Linked DNA regions of Lonchura striata. The protein of the gene in region 1 interacts with the protein of each later gene in a pairwise test. Links are inferred from orthologs where the notes say so. Each region holds a gene or a part of one and is shown in the gene's direction. Other genes may lie near its edges.

The links.
Region 2: the proteins of EEA1 (region 1) and RAB5B interact in binary tests that used the Homo sapiens proteins (3 or more experiments, as listed by UniProt). The link is inferred for Lonchura striata from reciprocal best matches to the Homo sapiens genes EEA1 and RAB5B.

The regions. Positions count from the first base shown.
Region 1 is NC_134607.1:53,447,674-53,454,669, reverse strand, and holds the start of EEA1 (early endosome antigen 1), read left to right. Parts: upstream 1-3,993; 5' UTR 3,994-4,101; coding exon 4,102-4,125; intron 4,126-6,996. UniProt on the Homo sapiens protein: Binds phospholipid vesicles containing phosphatidylinositol 3-phosphate and participates in endosomal trafficking.
Region 2 is NC_134629.1:9,330,558-9,337,947, forward strand, and holds the start of RAB5B (ras-related protein Rab-5B), read left to right. Parts: upstream 1-4,370; 5' UTR 4,371-4,424; intron 4,425-5,292; 5' UTR 5,293-5,322; coding exon 5,323-5,485; intron 5,486-6,389; coding exon 6,390-6,541; intron 6,542-7,390. Other genes in the region: CDK2 (cyclin-dependent kinase 2), read left to right, coding at 1-76, 1,325-1,528, 2,716-2,820. UniProt on the Homo sapiens protein: The small GTPases Rab are key regulators of intracellular membrane trafficking, from the formation of transport vesicles to their fusion with membranes.

The DNA.
Region 1 (6,996 bases):
TTATTAGTACACACACTCATTACTCATGCAAGCAATTGCGCTGACTTGAAAGAGGCTCTCTGTCACACAGGAACCAGCCTTGAGTCACCAGCTCTTTGTTAGAGACCTCACCACAGAGTCAGCCAGGTTCTAAAGCAGCTGAGCAAACACACTCTCTCTAATACATGCAGATGGAAGTACTGGTGCTCTGGCCAACCCCTTCAGTACTATGAGTGAAGAATTGGAGAGCTGTTACTTTTCCCTGTAGTGGGAAGGGAATGCGTCAGGAACCATTGGTGATTAGTTCAAGCATAGTCTAAAACTACTCTATGCTAAATAGCCCTGCCTTCAGCTGAAAACATATTTTTGCCCAAATCTGCACTTCATAAATCTTCCAAATTTTGTCATACACCTTTCATAGAGTCATTGAGGTTTGTAAAGACCTGCAAATTCATTAAGTCCAACCTTTGACCAAATATTGCCATGTAAACTAAACCGTATCATTTAAACAACTGTGTTCAACCGAGTTTCATAGAGCTCGGCTTGAAAGGAGAAGGCTCCAGAAAAAGATGTGGGTAAATTTGAAAGCTACTTACTGGAAGTATATGGAACAGCACACAGTGACAGTCGAAAGTGTACAGCTGAAGAGCTAGGAAAAAGAAAAACCAGAGACTGATACCTTTTATAAATAGGATATTTAGAAATAACATGTTGAGAAAAATGGGACAGTGCAGCACATCGTGAACCAAAGGAGCTCGTGGCCATGTGATTTTGAGGTCAGCAATTTTACATGACTGAAAATAGTCATCTGTATGAACACTGAAAACATGTAGGACAATAAATAGCCCAGAAACTTGTAGGCTGTTAAGTATCTGCAAGCATATGTACTATGCATATACCACATGTGTTCCTTGCCATTTTCTACCAAATGGCAGTGGTTCCTCGTAGCCCTCAGTTGGGGTAGAAGATTGTGTGAACACCAGTTTTTGTGATCCATGGTCGAGACAGCATTTCATTTGACTCTCTCTCTCTCTCTTTCTCTCTCTCTCTCTCTCTCTCTCTATATATATATATATATATATATATAGCCATTAAAAATGAAGAACAACTCCCCAGAATCTCAACAAAACCCTGCAGTTATCTATTGAAAGATCTGAGAAGTGCTGGTGTACACTGGGCCATCCTGAAAACTGCTTGTACAAAAGACTGATTTCAGTTCTGTACAAAAATAAAAAAAATGCTGGCTTTGACAGATATGCAAGAGTTTGTTGTAGTTCAGACTCTCAACCTTCAGCTTGTGTTTAAAGGATAAGATACCTGTTCCCAGCTGGTTTTGGAAAAACCTTTGCTGTGATTCTGTTCTGAGACTTTCTACTAACAATTGACTCTTTAGAAAGGCACCTTCTAGCCCTCTTGTCACCAAACCCTTAACAGAGTTTATGAACTTGGATGAAATGAAAATTTACAACTCCTATGCCTGAGGATACAGCCTATTTACCAACAGCTGGAAATTCTATTGAATTTTAGGAGAGCACATGATATGAATTCACAGATATTACCATACACACAATAATTAAAACCAAGGACTTCCACTAGAAGTGGGACAGATTTAATTTTTTTTTTTCCTCTAGATCTCTGCCCCAAGGCAGAGATTTTTTATGTGCATTCTCTGGTACATAAAAGCAGCCACACTGCAGTCTTTCCTTACAGCCAGGACTCCATAGGGTTTATCTTCTCCCTGGCTACCTATTTAAATTTGTAGAACATTAGTATCTTTGAGCCTTATCTGACTCTGTTGTATTAATTGGCCCACAGATTAACAAGTTACTGAGGGAATCATGCTTGAACAGGGAGACAGATGCATGTATTCTAGCATCCACACAAGGAAAGGATCATGTATTTCCCTTCAAGTCTTGCTAAGAAAAGCCTCCTCTGATATAAGACTGTTAACTAGTGTCCTCAAATTGCTATCATCTTCCTCTGAGCATTCAGGAATTGCTAACCTAGGAGAGTAAAAAACATTCTACAAAGGGGTTGGTCAAGTTATTTGGGTCTAGCAAATTAAGCAGTCTGGCAGTTAGTTGTGTAGGCTGTCACTCTTCTTGAAATATCTATAAAACTTGCAGTCATTTCTGTTTGGATTCAGAGTAAGTATCTATGGTCTGCCTAAATATTTAAAGATCTGTACAAAACCAATCTTATTCCCATTATAAATCTGAAGTGCAAAATTCCAAAAGACCCTACCTGCCAAATTTCAAAGCCATTTTGTACTATGGACAGATGAAAATTATGTCATGGGTATGACCAAAATCATCGCTTATCAACTGAAGCCATTACCAAGTGTGTGTGCTCTTAATGGGCCTCAGTTGTGGATCCAATGACATTAAGATGAAACACACTGGAACCTGTAGATGGACCAAACTGCATCCAGTCACATAATGCTGCTATGCTTGAAGCCTCCAGCTGCAGCACCAAATTCTTCTGGTCATGTGCTCTCAACACACATAATGTGTGAGGATTTTAGAGTACTTAGAAATGTCAGCTTCTGGGTGGAAAAATGTTTTTGATCTTTACACTACAACTGGTGCTCTGCTGTGATATTTGTTCTAGTCAGCACAATTAGTCATTGACCAAGTTTATTATTTACTCATGACCCTTTGTCTGGTATCCAGCATGTGAAAATTGCAGCTTTTGGACAGAACAGGGAACAGTAACTTGTTGAATTACATATTCTAGATGGTACAGGTATTCCAGTAACTATCCTGCAACGTCTGATGTGGGGTTTTGCCTCAGCAGTAGATACTGATTCTTTCTCAGTTAAAATTGACAGGAAAATTAATCTACAAACACCAGAGGTTTATGTCCAAAAAGGAGACAGAGGAGTCCTTTAACTTTTTTGAATAAAGGGAGACGTTATGGGGCATTCCCCATGGGGTCTCTCAAACTTTTTGGGAGACGCAGCTCCATTTTATCCTAATTTCCTGGCTGCATTTTCCCTCTCTCTTTCCCCAGTGGCCGAGGTACTTGAGAGGTACAGGCTCCATAAGATGAGAAATATGTAAGACCCCCTTCTAATGTATATTTCCCCTCCCATTTTTCTTTTTCATTGTGTCTTTGATTTTTTTCTCTAAATCCAGAGATTTAGCAGTCTTGAGTGGGTAAGTCTGTGTCAATTAGTGGAATTCCTACGGAATTTATGGTTCCCCTCCTTGCTTCTTTCACATCTCTGTACCTGGCCTTATCTACTATCAGGCCCACAGTTTGTTTGTAAATACTTCCTTATCACTCCTTTCAGCTGATGCTTTTTGTGTTGTACTTTTTTTTTTTTTTTTTTTAGGTATGTGTGTATTTGTGTGAGTAAAATGTTCTTTTCTAATATTTAAAAAACACCTAATGGGTCATACCACAAGGTCGTCTTTTCAGCTGGGGGCTTGAAGCAAGGAGCTGCTTCATCAGAATTAAATTTGAGGTTAATAATCGTAACAAGTTCGCTTCGACAACCCTCCCCGAACGCACATTTCTCAGTACTTTCCGTGCCGCACGAGTAACAGAGTAACACGGCGCTGCATTTGCGCTTTGCCTCCTTCAGCGAGCCCGCAGCTGCAAGCTCAAACCACAGTCCTCTCCCTTCCCTCGGCCGATGCCACACTGACGCCAGCAGCACGGGGCCCGCAGCTATCGGGAGCCCGGGCAGCCCCGAGGGGAGCCAAGGGCACAGACAGCGCCGCGTTCCGCTTTCCCCGCCCTGCCCCCGGCAGCCGGGACGCGTCTGGGGCGGCGGAGACCCGGCACAGCGCAGGGACAGGCCGAGAGCCGCGGCGCTGGGCCCGCTGCGGCGAGGAGCCGGGCCCGGGCCCCCGCGGAGCGATCAGGGCGCAGCCCCCGGCCCGCTCCGCACCTCTACCCGCCCTGCCTTCCCCGCTGCCGGCGGCCGGGCGGCGGCGGTGGCCGCAGCCCCTTCCCGCGGGACCCGCCCCTCCCCGGGGCGGAGCGCGGCGGCTGCCCTGCCTCCCCGGCCGCGGCGGCTGTCACGGGGCGAGGGCCGCGCCGGGCTCCTGCGGGGCCCCGCGGCTTCCCTTCGGCCTGGCCGCGGCCGCCCGACGGCATCCGCGCTCTACCACCATGCTCAGGCGGATTCTGCAGCGGGTAAGGCAGCGAGGCCCGCCCCAGCGGCGAGGGCGGCGAGCCGTGCCGGCGCCGTGCCGGTGTCGCTTCCTGGTGCCGGCCGCGCTCGGAGCTGCGCTCCCCGCGGCAGAGCCGGAGCCACCGGCCCTGTCCGGCCCGTCCTGCGGCGCAGGGTCCGGTGAGGGCCGTCGCGGCCCCGGAGGCCGTGAGTTTGTCCGCCCCCGCCCTCTCGCTGGGAGACGGCCCGAGCCCCGACGGGACGGGACGGGCCAGGCCCGCCATCCCGGCTGGGGGCGGTGTCGCCTCCCGGGCTGGGCGGAGGTGCTGGCGGGCGGCTCCCGCGGCCGGGCCTGTCGGAGGGGCGAGGGGCGGCCCTGGCCGGCGTGGCTTTTTCCGTAACGCGGCGGCATCTCCGCCCGCCGCCTGCTCCCGCTGCCGCGGCTGCGGCCGCCCGCGCAGAGGGCAGGATAAAGGGAAGGCCGGCGTGGGGAGAGCCGCCGCCGGGACCTGCGGTGATGTCCTCAGGGGCTGGCAGGCAGCAGGCTCTTAACGCCGAGAGCCAGCCCGGCAGCCGCCGTCCGGCCGCCTCCCGTGTTTTAGGAACCGGCTTTTCCGGCAGCTCTGCCGGGCTTGGGAAGCCAAGTTGTGACACTCGTTTATGAGACCCTTCTCGCTTGCCCGGATCCCTTTGCCGGTGCTGGTCGCCGTGCGGCGGGCCTGCGGCTCGGGTGGGAGCTGCCGGGAGGCGCTGGCACGGGGCAGGTGCCGGCGGGTCCCGGCTCCGTGCGGCCGGGGGCTCGGCTGGGGGATGCACCCAGAAGGGTTGAGTCACGCCGGCCGTGGGCAGGCAGCGCTCCAGATCCCGTACCGCAGGAGAGCGGCGTCCGTGTCACGCTGGAGGCGTTCACGGATTGAGGGAAAACCAGCTGCTCTCCCCGTTTGATCCGCTGTTGCTTCCAAAGCGTGCTGTCTGTGTAACACCTCTGCGACAGAGTGTTTTATTGGAAACGCTGGCTTACTCTCCTTACCTGCCATGCAGAGAAGCGTTGCTACAAGAATGAGAGGGGAAATAAAGTAAGCCTAACACCAACTTTTTCAGTGTAAAACATACGTCAGATTATCTTTTGTTATAGACCCTAAGCAGGTGAAGATCTTGGTATATTTGGAGCTTTGTGTTTACAAGGAAGAGCTTCCTTCCTGAAGCTTAATGGGAAGCCCTGCTAACAAGCAGGAAACTTAGTACGGACCTAATTAAATATTGGCAGCAGTTAACTGGGTGTTTATTGATTCTGAGAAACACCAGGCCATGAAGGAAGGCTTCTGTGAGAGGAAAAAGCTTCATATAGTGCCAGAGGATATTTGTCCCTAAGTATGAATTCAGCTAAACACATCTTACAGACATCACATCTACAGTCAATGCAAAAGTTTCTGTGTGAGAAAAAGACATATTTTCCAAAAGATTGAACTAATAGTTGTTCTCCAGTTGCTCCTGAAAATTACGAGATTACAGGAGAATTTATTGTCAAGAAAGGTGAAACAGACTTCTTCCTGCCTAAAAATTAAATAGAGAAATGTCAAAATTTTTGAAGGTGTAAACTTTTTAATTGCTGAAAATAACTTTTGCCAAAAATAGACTTTTAAAAATTCACCTGATACTAAAAGGGGTTTTAGGTATTTTTGTAAAAATAGTGATTGCATGCACAACCTCGTACACATGTACCATTTTGACTTGCACTCTGGTTGGCAGACTGTGAAAAATACTTCTGCTGTACTTTGGTATTAAAAATGAACCTTAGGTTTATGTCAGATATTTTACTAAAGAACATAGTCATTAATATCTTTCATGTTTCTCATACAGTATTTGAAGAATAAGGAACTTCCTCTTGACCTTTTTATTGTCCATCATTTGTATAGCTGGCAAAAAACCACTGCCTTTCTGTCCCTCAAACATAGCTTCTTGCATATCTGTTTGGTTTGTTATATGTTTATAGGTGATGCCACCCTTTCTAGCCAGAGAGCTAGGCATTAATGGTGATATAACTTGAGTTATAAAAGCATGTTTTTTGAAAAAGGCATTCTTTGTTACATTATTTACATTCTTTATTACATTTTTTATTACTTTATTAGGCTGGCTGACAAGCTGCAAAGGAGGAAGACAACAGCTAAAGATATTATTTATAGTTTCTGATTCCTGAAGTTTCAAATCATCAAATATTTCTTTTTTATTCTACTTCTCTACCTTGATCACCTCTATTTCATCCACAGTTCAAATTTCTGTTTTTAAAAGCATCTTCACTGTGACTTTGAATGACATATTTTCAAAGTGGAAAGTATTATAATGGAAACATTGCTTGTTTAGTTTTTGAGGTTAGTATCTCCATGCTGTCATCACCTAGCTTCTCATTTTACGTCCTTTCTCTACAAGTTCTGAAGTTTTTTACAAGTTTCTAAATTTTATGTGTGTTTTCAACATGACATCTCAGGGATCCGCCTGTTTTGTATGTTTGCACCATAAAACTCCCTTTTGTACATTGTTGCCACGTCCTGGTTTCATGCATTGTTCATTATGCTGATCTAGAAAAAGGTAGTTTTTCCCAAAAGGCATCTGCATGGAGTGTCTGAGACTTACCTTTCCTGCTCAAATAGTTTGATTTTTGTCAGTGGATTCCTTGGAGAGTGGTCTTTTCTTTATTTTGTTCAACTTTGATGCTGTCTGTGGACATTGTGTCATCTCTCCATTGTTAATCTACTCTGAGACAGTGGAAGTTGCCTATAGCCTGTTAAAGCAGAGCTCATTTCTTGTATTTTCAAGGAGGGGGAATTTATTTTCAGCTGGTAGAAAACTGATTACTGTGACCTCCTTCTGAGCCTTCTTCTCATTGCTCATGATTT
Region 2 (7,390 bases), on another chromosome or scaffold:
CGAGATCCTGCTGGGCTGCAAATATTACAGCACGGCCGTGGACATCTGGAGCCTGGGCTGCATCTTCGCCGAGATGGTGGGTGGCACTTGGGGACATTGGGGACATTTGGGGACACTGGGGTGTCACACAGCCTGGCTGCATCTTCGCCGAGATGGTGGGTGGCACTTGGGGACACCGAGGGGGACATTGGGGTCCTCAGGGTGACACGTGGGTCCCCAAACCCCCTTAGGTGACACCGGGGGTGACACTGATGTCCCCAAAGCCTCCCTGTGATGTCCCACTGATGTCCCCAACATCCCTGTGATGTCCCCAAATGTCCCCAATGTCCCCAGATCACGCGCCGTGCCCTGTTCCCGGGGGACTCCGAGATCGACCAGCTGTTTCCCATTGTGTCCCCAATGTCCCATTGATGTCCCCAATGTCCCCAATGTCCCATTGATGTCCCCAGTGTCCTGTTGATGTCCCCAAATGTCCCCAATGTCCCCAGATCACCTGCCATGCCCTGTTCCCTGGTGACTCTGAGATCGACCAGCTGTTCCCATTGTGTCCAATGTCCCAGTGTCCCATTGATGTCCCCAATGTCCCCAACATCCCATTGATGTCCCCAATGTCCCCAATGTCCCATTGATGTCCCCAACATCCCATTGATGTCCCCAACATCCCATTGATGTCCCCAATGTCCCACTGATGTCCCCAATGTCCCCAGATCACGCGCCGTGCCCTGTTCCCGGGCAACTCCGAGATCGACCGGCTGTTCCCATTGTGTCCAATGTCCCAGTGTCCCATTGATGTCCCCAATGTCCCCAACATCCCATTGATGTCCCCAATGTCCCCAGATCACGCGCCGTGCCCTGTTCCCGGGCGACTCCGAGATCGACCAGCTGTTCCCATTGTCCTGATCCCATATCTCCAGTGTCCCATTGATATCCCAGGGATGTCCCCAGTGTCCCATTGGTGTCCCCAATGTCCCGTTGATGTCCCCAGTGTCCCGTTGATGTCCCCAACATCCCGTTGATGTCCCCAATGTCCCGTTGATGTCCCCAACATCCCAGTGATTTCCCCAATGTCCCGTTGATGTCCCCAGTGTCCCGTTGATGTCCCCAACGTCCCATTGATGTCCCCAGTGTCCCGTTGATGTCCCCAACGTCCCGTTGATGTCCCCAATGTCCCATTGATGTCCCCAACGTCCCGTTGATGTCCCCAATGTCCCGTTGATGTCCCCAACGTCCCGTTGATGTCCCCAACATCCCATTGATGTCCCCAACATCCCGTTGATGTCCCCAACATCCCGTTGATGTCCCCAACGTCCCTGTCACCCCCCAGATCACGCGCCGCGCCCTGTTCCCGGGCGACTCCGAGATCGACCAGCTGTTCCGCATTTTCCGCACGCTGGGCACGCCGGACGAGGCCGCCTGGCCGGGGGTGTCGGCGCTGCCCGACTACAAAGCCACCTTCCCCCGCTGGGCGCGCCAGGACCTGGCCAAGGTTTTGCCACCCCTGGACGACGAGGGCCGCAAGCTCCTGGCGGTGAGGCACAATTCCCAATTTCCCCTGGCTTTTCCACAGCTTTTCCTTCATTTTCCCTGATTTTTCTGTGATTTTCCCTGATTTTTCTGTGATTTTTCCTGATTTTCCCACAAGTTTTCCTTAGTTTTCCCCAGTTTTTCCTTAATTTTCCCCCACTTGTTCCCAATTTCCCGATTTTTCCCCAAGTTTTCCTGATTTTCCCCAATTTTTCCTGATTTCCCCCAATTTTTCCTTGATTTTCCCCAATTTTTCCTTGATTTTCCCCACTTTTTCCTGATTTTTCCCCACTTGTTCCCAATTTCCCGATTTTTCCCCAAGTTTTCCTTATTTTCCCCAATTTTTCCTTGATTTCCCCCAATTTTTCCTTGATTTTCCCCAGTTCTTCCTTGATTTTCCCCACTTTTTCCTGATTTTTCCCAACTTGTTCCCAATTTCCTGATTTTTCCCCAAGTTTTCCTGATTTTCCCAAGTTTTCCTTAGTTTTCCCGTTTTTCCTTGATTTTCCCCACTTTTTCCTGATTTTTCCCCACTTGTTCCCCATTTCCCGATTTTCCCCCAAGTTTTCCTGATTTTCCCCAATTTTTCCTTGATTTTCCCCAATTTTTCCTGATTTCCCCCAATTTTTCCTTGATTTTCCCTAATTTATCCTGATTTTTTCCCTGATCTTTCCCATTTTTCCAATTTCCTCCCAATTTTTCCCCAAATTTTCCCTAATTTTTTCCATTTCCCCCAATTTTTCCTTGATTATTTTCCCTTTTCCCTCTTTTTTTTTGCCATTTTCCCCTGATTTCCCTCCCATTTCCCCCCATTTTCCTAATTTCCCCCCATTTTTCCCCATTTCCCCCCCATTTTTCCCCCCATTTTCCCCCATTTCCCTTTTTTCCCCATTTCGTGCCCATTTTCCCAATTTCCCCCATTTTTTCCTGCATTTCCCCCCAATTTCTCTCTGCTTTTTTTCCCTTTTCCCCCATTTCCCCCATTTTTCCCATTTCCCCCCAATTTTCCCGATTTTTCCCCTTTTTTCCCCATTTTTTCCCCAATTTTCCCCTGATTTTTCCCCTTTTTTCCCCATTTTTTCCCCAATTTTCCCCTGATTTTTCCCCTTTTTTCCCCTTCCCCCTCCCTTTTTTCCCCATTTCCCCCATTTTTTCCCCGTTTTTTCCCATTTTCCCCGTTTTTCTCCCCAGCAAATGCTGCATTACGACCCCAACAAGAGAATTTCGGCCAAGGCCGCCCTGGGCCACCCCTTCTTCAGGGACGTCACCAGAGCTGTCCCCCACCTGCGCCTCTGACCCCAAAAATGACCCCAAAATATCCCCAAAACCCCCCAAAATTACCCCAACCCCCCCAAAATATCCCCAAACCCCCAAAATTACCCCAAAACCAAGAAAAACGGCCCCAAATCCTCCAAAAACGACCCCAAAACCGTCCCAAACAGCCCCAAAAACTCCAAAATATCCTCAAAACCATCCCAAAATGGCCCCAAACCCCCCAAAAATGACCCTAAATCCCCCAAAATATCCCCAAACCACAAAACAGCCCCAAAACCCCCAAAATATCCCCAAAACCAGAGAAAGTGGCCCCAAAACCTCCAAAATATCCCCAAAATGAGACAAAACGGCCCCAAATTCCTCAAAAAAGGTCCCAAACTACCAAAATGACCCTAAACCCCCTAAAATATCCCCAAAACCATGCAGAATGGTCCCAAACTAACAAAATGACCCCAAAACCATCCAAAATCCCCCAAAACGACCCCAAAATTCCCCAAATTCCAAGGGCCCCAAAACAGCCCAAAAATGACCCCAAATTTACCCAAAATGTCCCCAAAAGTGCCCAAAATACCCCGAATGTCCCCAAAAGGTCTCTAAAACGTCCCAAATGTCCCCAGAATTCCCCCAAATTCCCCCAAATCCCCCAAATTGTCCCCAAATTGTCCCCAGTGCCATCCCCTCCATGTCCCCTTTGTCCCCTCTTCCCCCCTGCCACAGTTTTTGGGGCCGAATTTTGGTTTTTTTGTGATTTTATGGAAAAAATTTGTAATAAAATTTCTGCGGTTTTTAATCCCGGGAAGGTCAGGGTGGCATCGTCACCTCCCCCCCCCCCCTCCGTCCTGAGACCCCCAAAATGTCCCCAAGTGTCCCCAAAACCCCAAAAATGTCCCCAAATGTCCCCAAATTCCTCCGAAAGTGTCCTGGAAACCCCAAAAATCTTCCCACACCCCAAAAATCTCCCTGAAACCCCTAAAAAATGTCCCCGAACCCCTCAAATGCCCACAAACTCCTCAAGTGTCCCCAAAACCCCAAAAATGTCCCGAAACCCCCAAAAAATGTCCCCAAATGTCTCCCCCTGGCTTTCCCAGGCCACGCCCCCTGGTCTACAAACCACGCCCACTCGCGACCACGCCCACAACACAGTCTGAGCCTCTTGATTGGTCCTTCCAAGCCACGCCCCCTTCGCATGAGCTCTCCACACTGTCAATCAAAGTTAGCACCTCTGATTGGGCGAGGCTTCCTCTCTCCCCGCCTTCTCATTGGGTGATGCAGCCGCGCGGCTCCGCCCCCTCCGGTCACCTTATTTGTTGTCCGCCCCGCCTTTTCTCGCGTTTTTTATTTTTATTGGTTGCCAGCCTTGTCACTCACCGCAAACCCCACCTCCTCACCGCCTTTCCCCTTCCCCACTGGCCAAGCTCTCTCCTCTCCTTATTGGCCGCTGTGCTGTCCATCACCCCTCCCCTCCATCCTATTGGTGCAGCACAGCGGGGTGTCCCCCACCTCTTTTCCCATTGGCGGAGCGCAAAGGCGGGCTCTTCTCCTATTGGTTCATTCCGCTGTTAGTCCCGCCCCTCTCCGTGAGGGGCTTGGCGGAGCCGCTGTTTGTGCGCCGGCAGGGCCCGGAGGTACCGGGGGGCGCCGGGGCCGGCCTCGGGGGGCTCCGAGCGGCTCCGAGCCCCGGGGCGAGCCGCGCTGAGGGCGGGGCGGGAGCCACGGGTGCGGATTTGGGGGGGGGTCGCGGCCATGAGAGGGATCCGGTCCTGAGGGGGCTCCGGGCTTGGGGGGCCCTGAGGGGGCTCCGGGCTTGGGGGGGCTCCGGGCTCTGGTGGGGCTCCAGCCCCTGAGGTGGTCCCAGCCCTGAGGGGGCTCCGGGCTTGGGGGGCTCCGGGCTTGAGGGGGCTTCATGCCCTGAGGGGGTTCCCAGCCCCTATGATCCCGTCCCAGTGGGGTTATCCCAGTGTTCTGATCCTATCCCAGTTGAATTATCCCAGTGGGGTGACCCCATCCCAGTGACCCCATTGCAGTGTGCTGACCCCATCCCAATTGGGTTATCCCAGTTGGGTGACCCCATCCCAGGGACCCCATCCCAGTGGGGTGACCCCATCCCATCCCGGTGCTGTGACCCCATCCCAGGGATCCCATCCCAATGGGGTGACCCCATCCCAGTTGGGTTATCCCATTTGGGTGACCCCATCCCGGTGCTGTGACCCCATCCCAGGGACCCCATTCCAGGGACCCTATCCCAGTGGGGTGACCCCATCCCAGCTGGGTTATCCCATTTGGGTGACCCCATCCCAAGGACCCCTATCCCGGTGCTGTGACCCCGTGCCACCCTCTCTGTGTCCCCAGGATTGCGGTGCCATTGCACCCAGCCCATCCCAGTGTTCCCAGTTTGCTGACCGCATCCCAGCTGGGTTGTCCCAGTTGGGTGACCCCATCCCAGTGACCCCATCCCGGCGCTGTGACCCCGTGCCACCCTCTCTGTGTCCCCAGGACCGCGGTGCCATTGTGCCCAGCCCGGCCATGGCCGCCCGCGGTGCCCAGCGGCCCAACGGGCACTCGCAGCCCAGTAAGATCTGCCAGTTCAAACTGGTGCTGCTGGGAGAGTCGGCTGTGGGCAAGTCCAGCCTGGTGCTGCGCTTCGTCAAGGGCCAGTTCCACGAGTACCAGGAGAGCACCATTGGCGGTGAGCCGGGATCTGGGGATCCCACGGGGATTTGGGGTGTCCTAAAGGAGTCTGGAGCTGTCCTGGGTGGGATTTGGGGTGTCCTAAAGGGGTCTGGGGCTGTCCTGGCTGGGATTTGGGGTGATCCCAGGTGGGATTTGGGGTTCAGAGCTTTGTCAGGGGCCAGTTCCACGAGTACCAGGAGAGCACCATTGGCGGTGAGCCGGGATCTGGGGAGCCCACGGGGATTTGGGGTGTCCTAAAGGGGTCTGGAGCTGTCCTGGCTGGGATTTGGGGTGTCCTAAAGGGGTCTGGGGCTGTCCTGGCTGGGATTTGGGGTGTCCTAAAGGGGTCTGGGGCTGTCCTGGCTGGGATTTGGGGTGTCCTAAAGGGGTCTGGGGCTGTCCTGGCTGGGATTTGGGGTGTCCTAAAGGGGTCTGGAGCTGTCCTGGCTGGGATTTGGGGTGATTCCATGGGGATCTGGGGGTCCCATGGGGATTTGGGGATGGTCAGGGTGGGATTTGGGGTGATCCCAGGTGGGATTTGGGGTTCAGAGCTTTGTCAGGGGCCAGTTCCACGAGTACCAGGAGAGCACCATCGGCGGTGAGCCGGGATCTGGGGATCCCACGGGGATCTGGGGATCCCACAGGAATTTGGGGTGTAGGAAGGGCTCTTTGGAAAGGTTTGGGACACCCTGAGGTGTCCCTGGCTGGGTTGGTGACACTGGTGACACTTTGGTGACACTTTGGTGGCCCTGTCCCTGTCCCCAGCGGCGTTCCTGACGCAGTCCGTGTGCCTGGCCGGGTTTGGGGTGCAGTGAGGTGTCCCTGGCCGGGTTGGTGACACAGTGTTGGCTCTGTGGCTGGGTTGGTGACACTCTGGTGACACTCTGGTGACACTTTGGTGGCCCTGTCCCTGTCCCCAGCGGCGTTCCTGACGCAGTCCGTGTGCCTGGACGACACCACGGTCAAGTTTGAGATCTGGGACACGGCGGGGCAGGAGCGCTACCACAGCCTGGCCCCCATGTACTACCGGGGGGCCCAGGCTGCCATCGTGGTCTACGACATCACCAACCAGGTCTGGGGGCTTTGGGGGGTCCTGAGGGGGATTTGGGGGGGTCCCAAAGGGATTTGAGGGGGTTTTGGGGTGATTTGAGGGGGTTTTGGGGTGATTTGAGGGAGTTTGGGGGGCTCTCAGGTTGTATTACCGGGGGGCCCAGGCTGCCATCGTGGTCTACGACATCACCAACCAGGTCTGGGGGCTTTGGGGGTCTCAGGGGGGATTTGGGGGGCATTTGAGGGGCTTTTGGGGTGATTTGAGGGGCTTTTGGGGTGATTTGAGGGAGTTTGGGGGGTCTCAGGTTGTACTACCGGGGGGCCCAGGCTGCCATCGTGGTCTACGACATCACCAACCAGGTCTGGGGGCTTTGGGGCTCTCAGGGGGGATTTGGGGGGCATTTGAGGGGCTTTTGGGGTGATTTGAGGGGGTTTTGGGGTGATTTGAGCGAGTTTTGGGGTGATTTGAGGGAGTTTGGGGGCTCTCAGGTTGTATTACCGGGGGGCCCAGGCTGCCATCGTGGTCTACGACATCACCGACCAGGTCTGGGGGGCTTTGGGGGGTCCTGAGGGGATTTGGGGGGGATTTGGGGGGGATTTGAGGGGCTTTTGGGGTGATTTGAGGGGGTTTTGGGGTGATTTGAGGGAGTTTGGGGGGTCTCAGGTTGTACTACCGGGGGGCCCAGGCTGCCATCGTGGTCTACGACATCACCAAGCAGGTCTGGGGGGATTTGGGGGGTCCTGAGGGGGATTTGGGGGGGTCCCAAAGGGATTTGAGGGGGATTTGGGGGGGATTTGAGGGGCTTTTGGGATGATTTGAGGGGGTTTTGGGGTGATTTGAGCGAGTTTTGGGGTGATTTGAGGGAGTTTG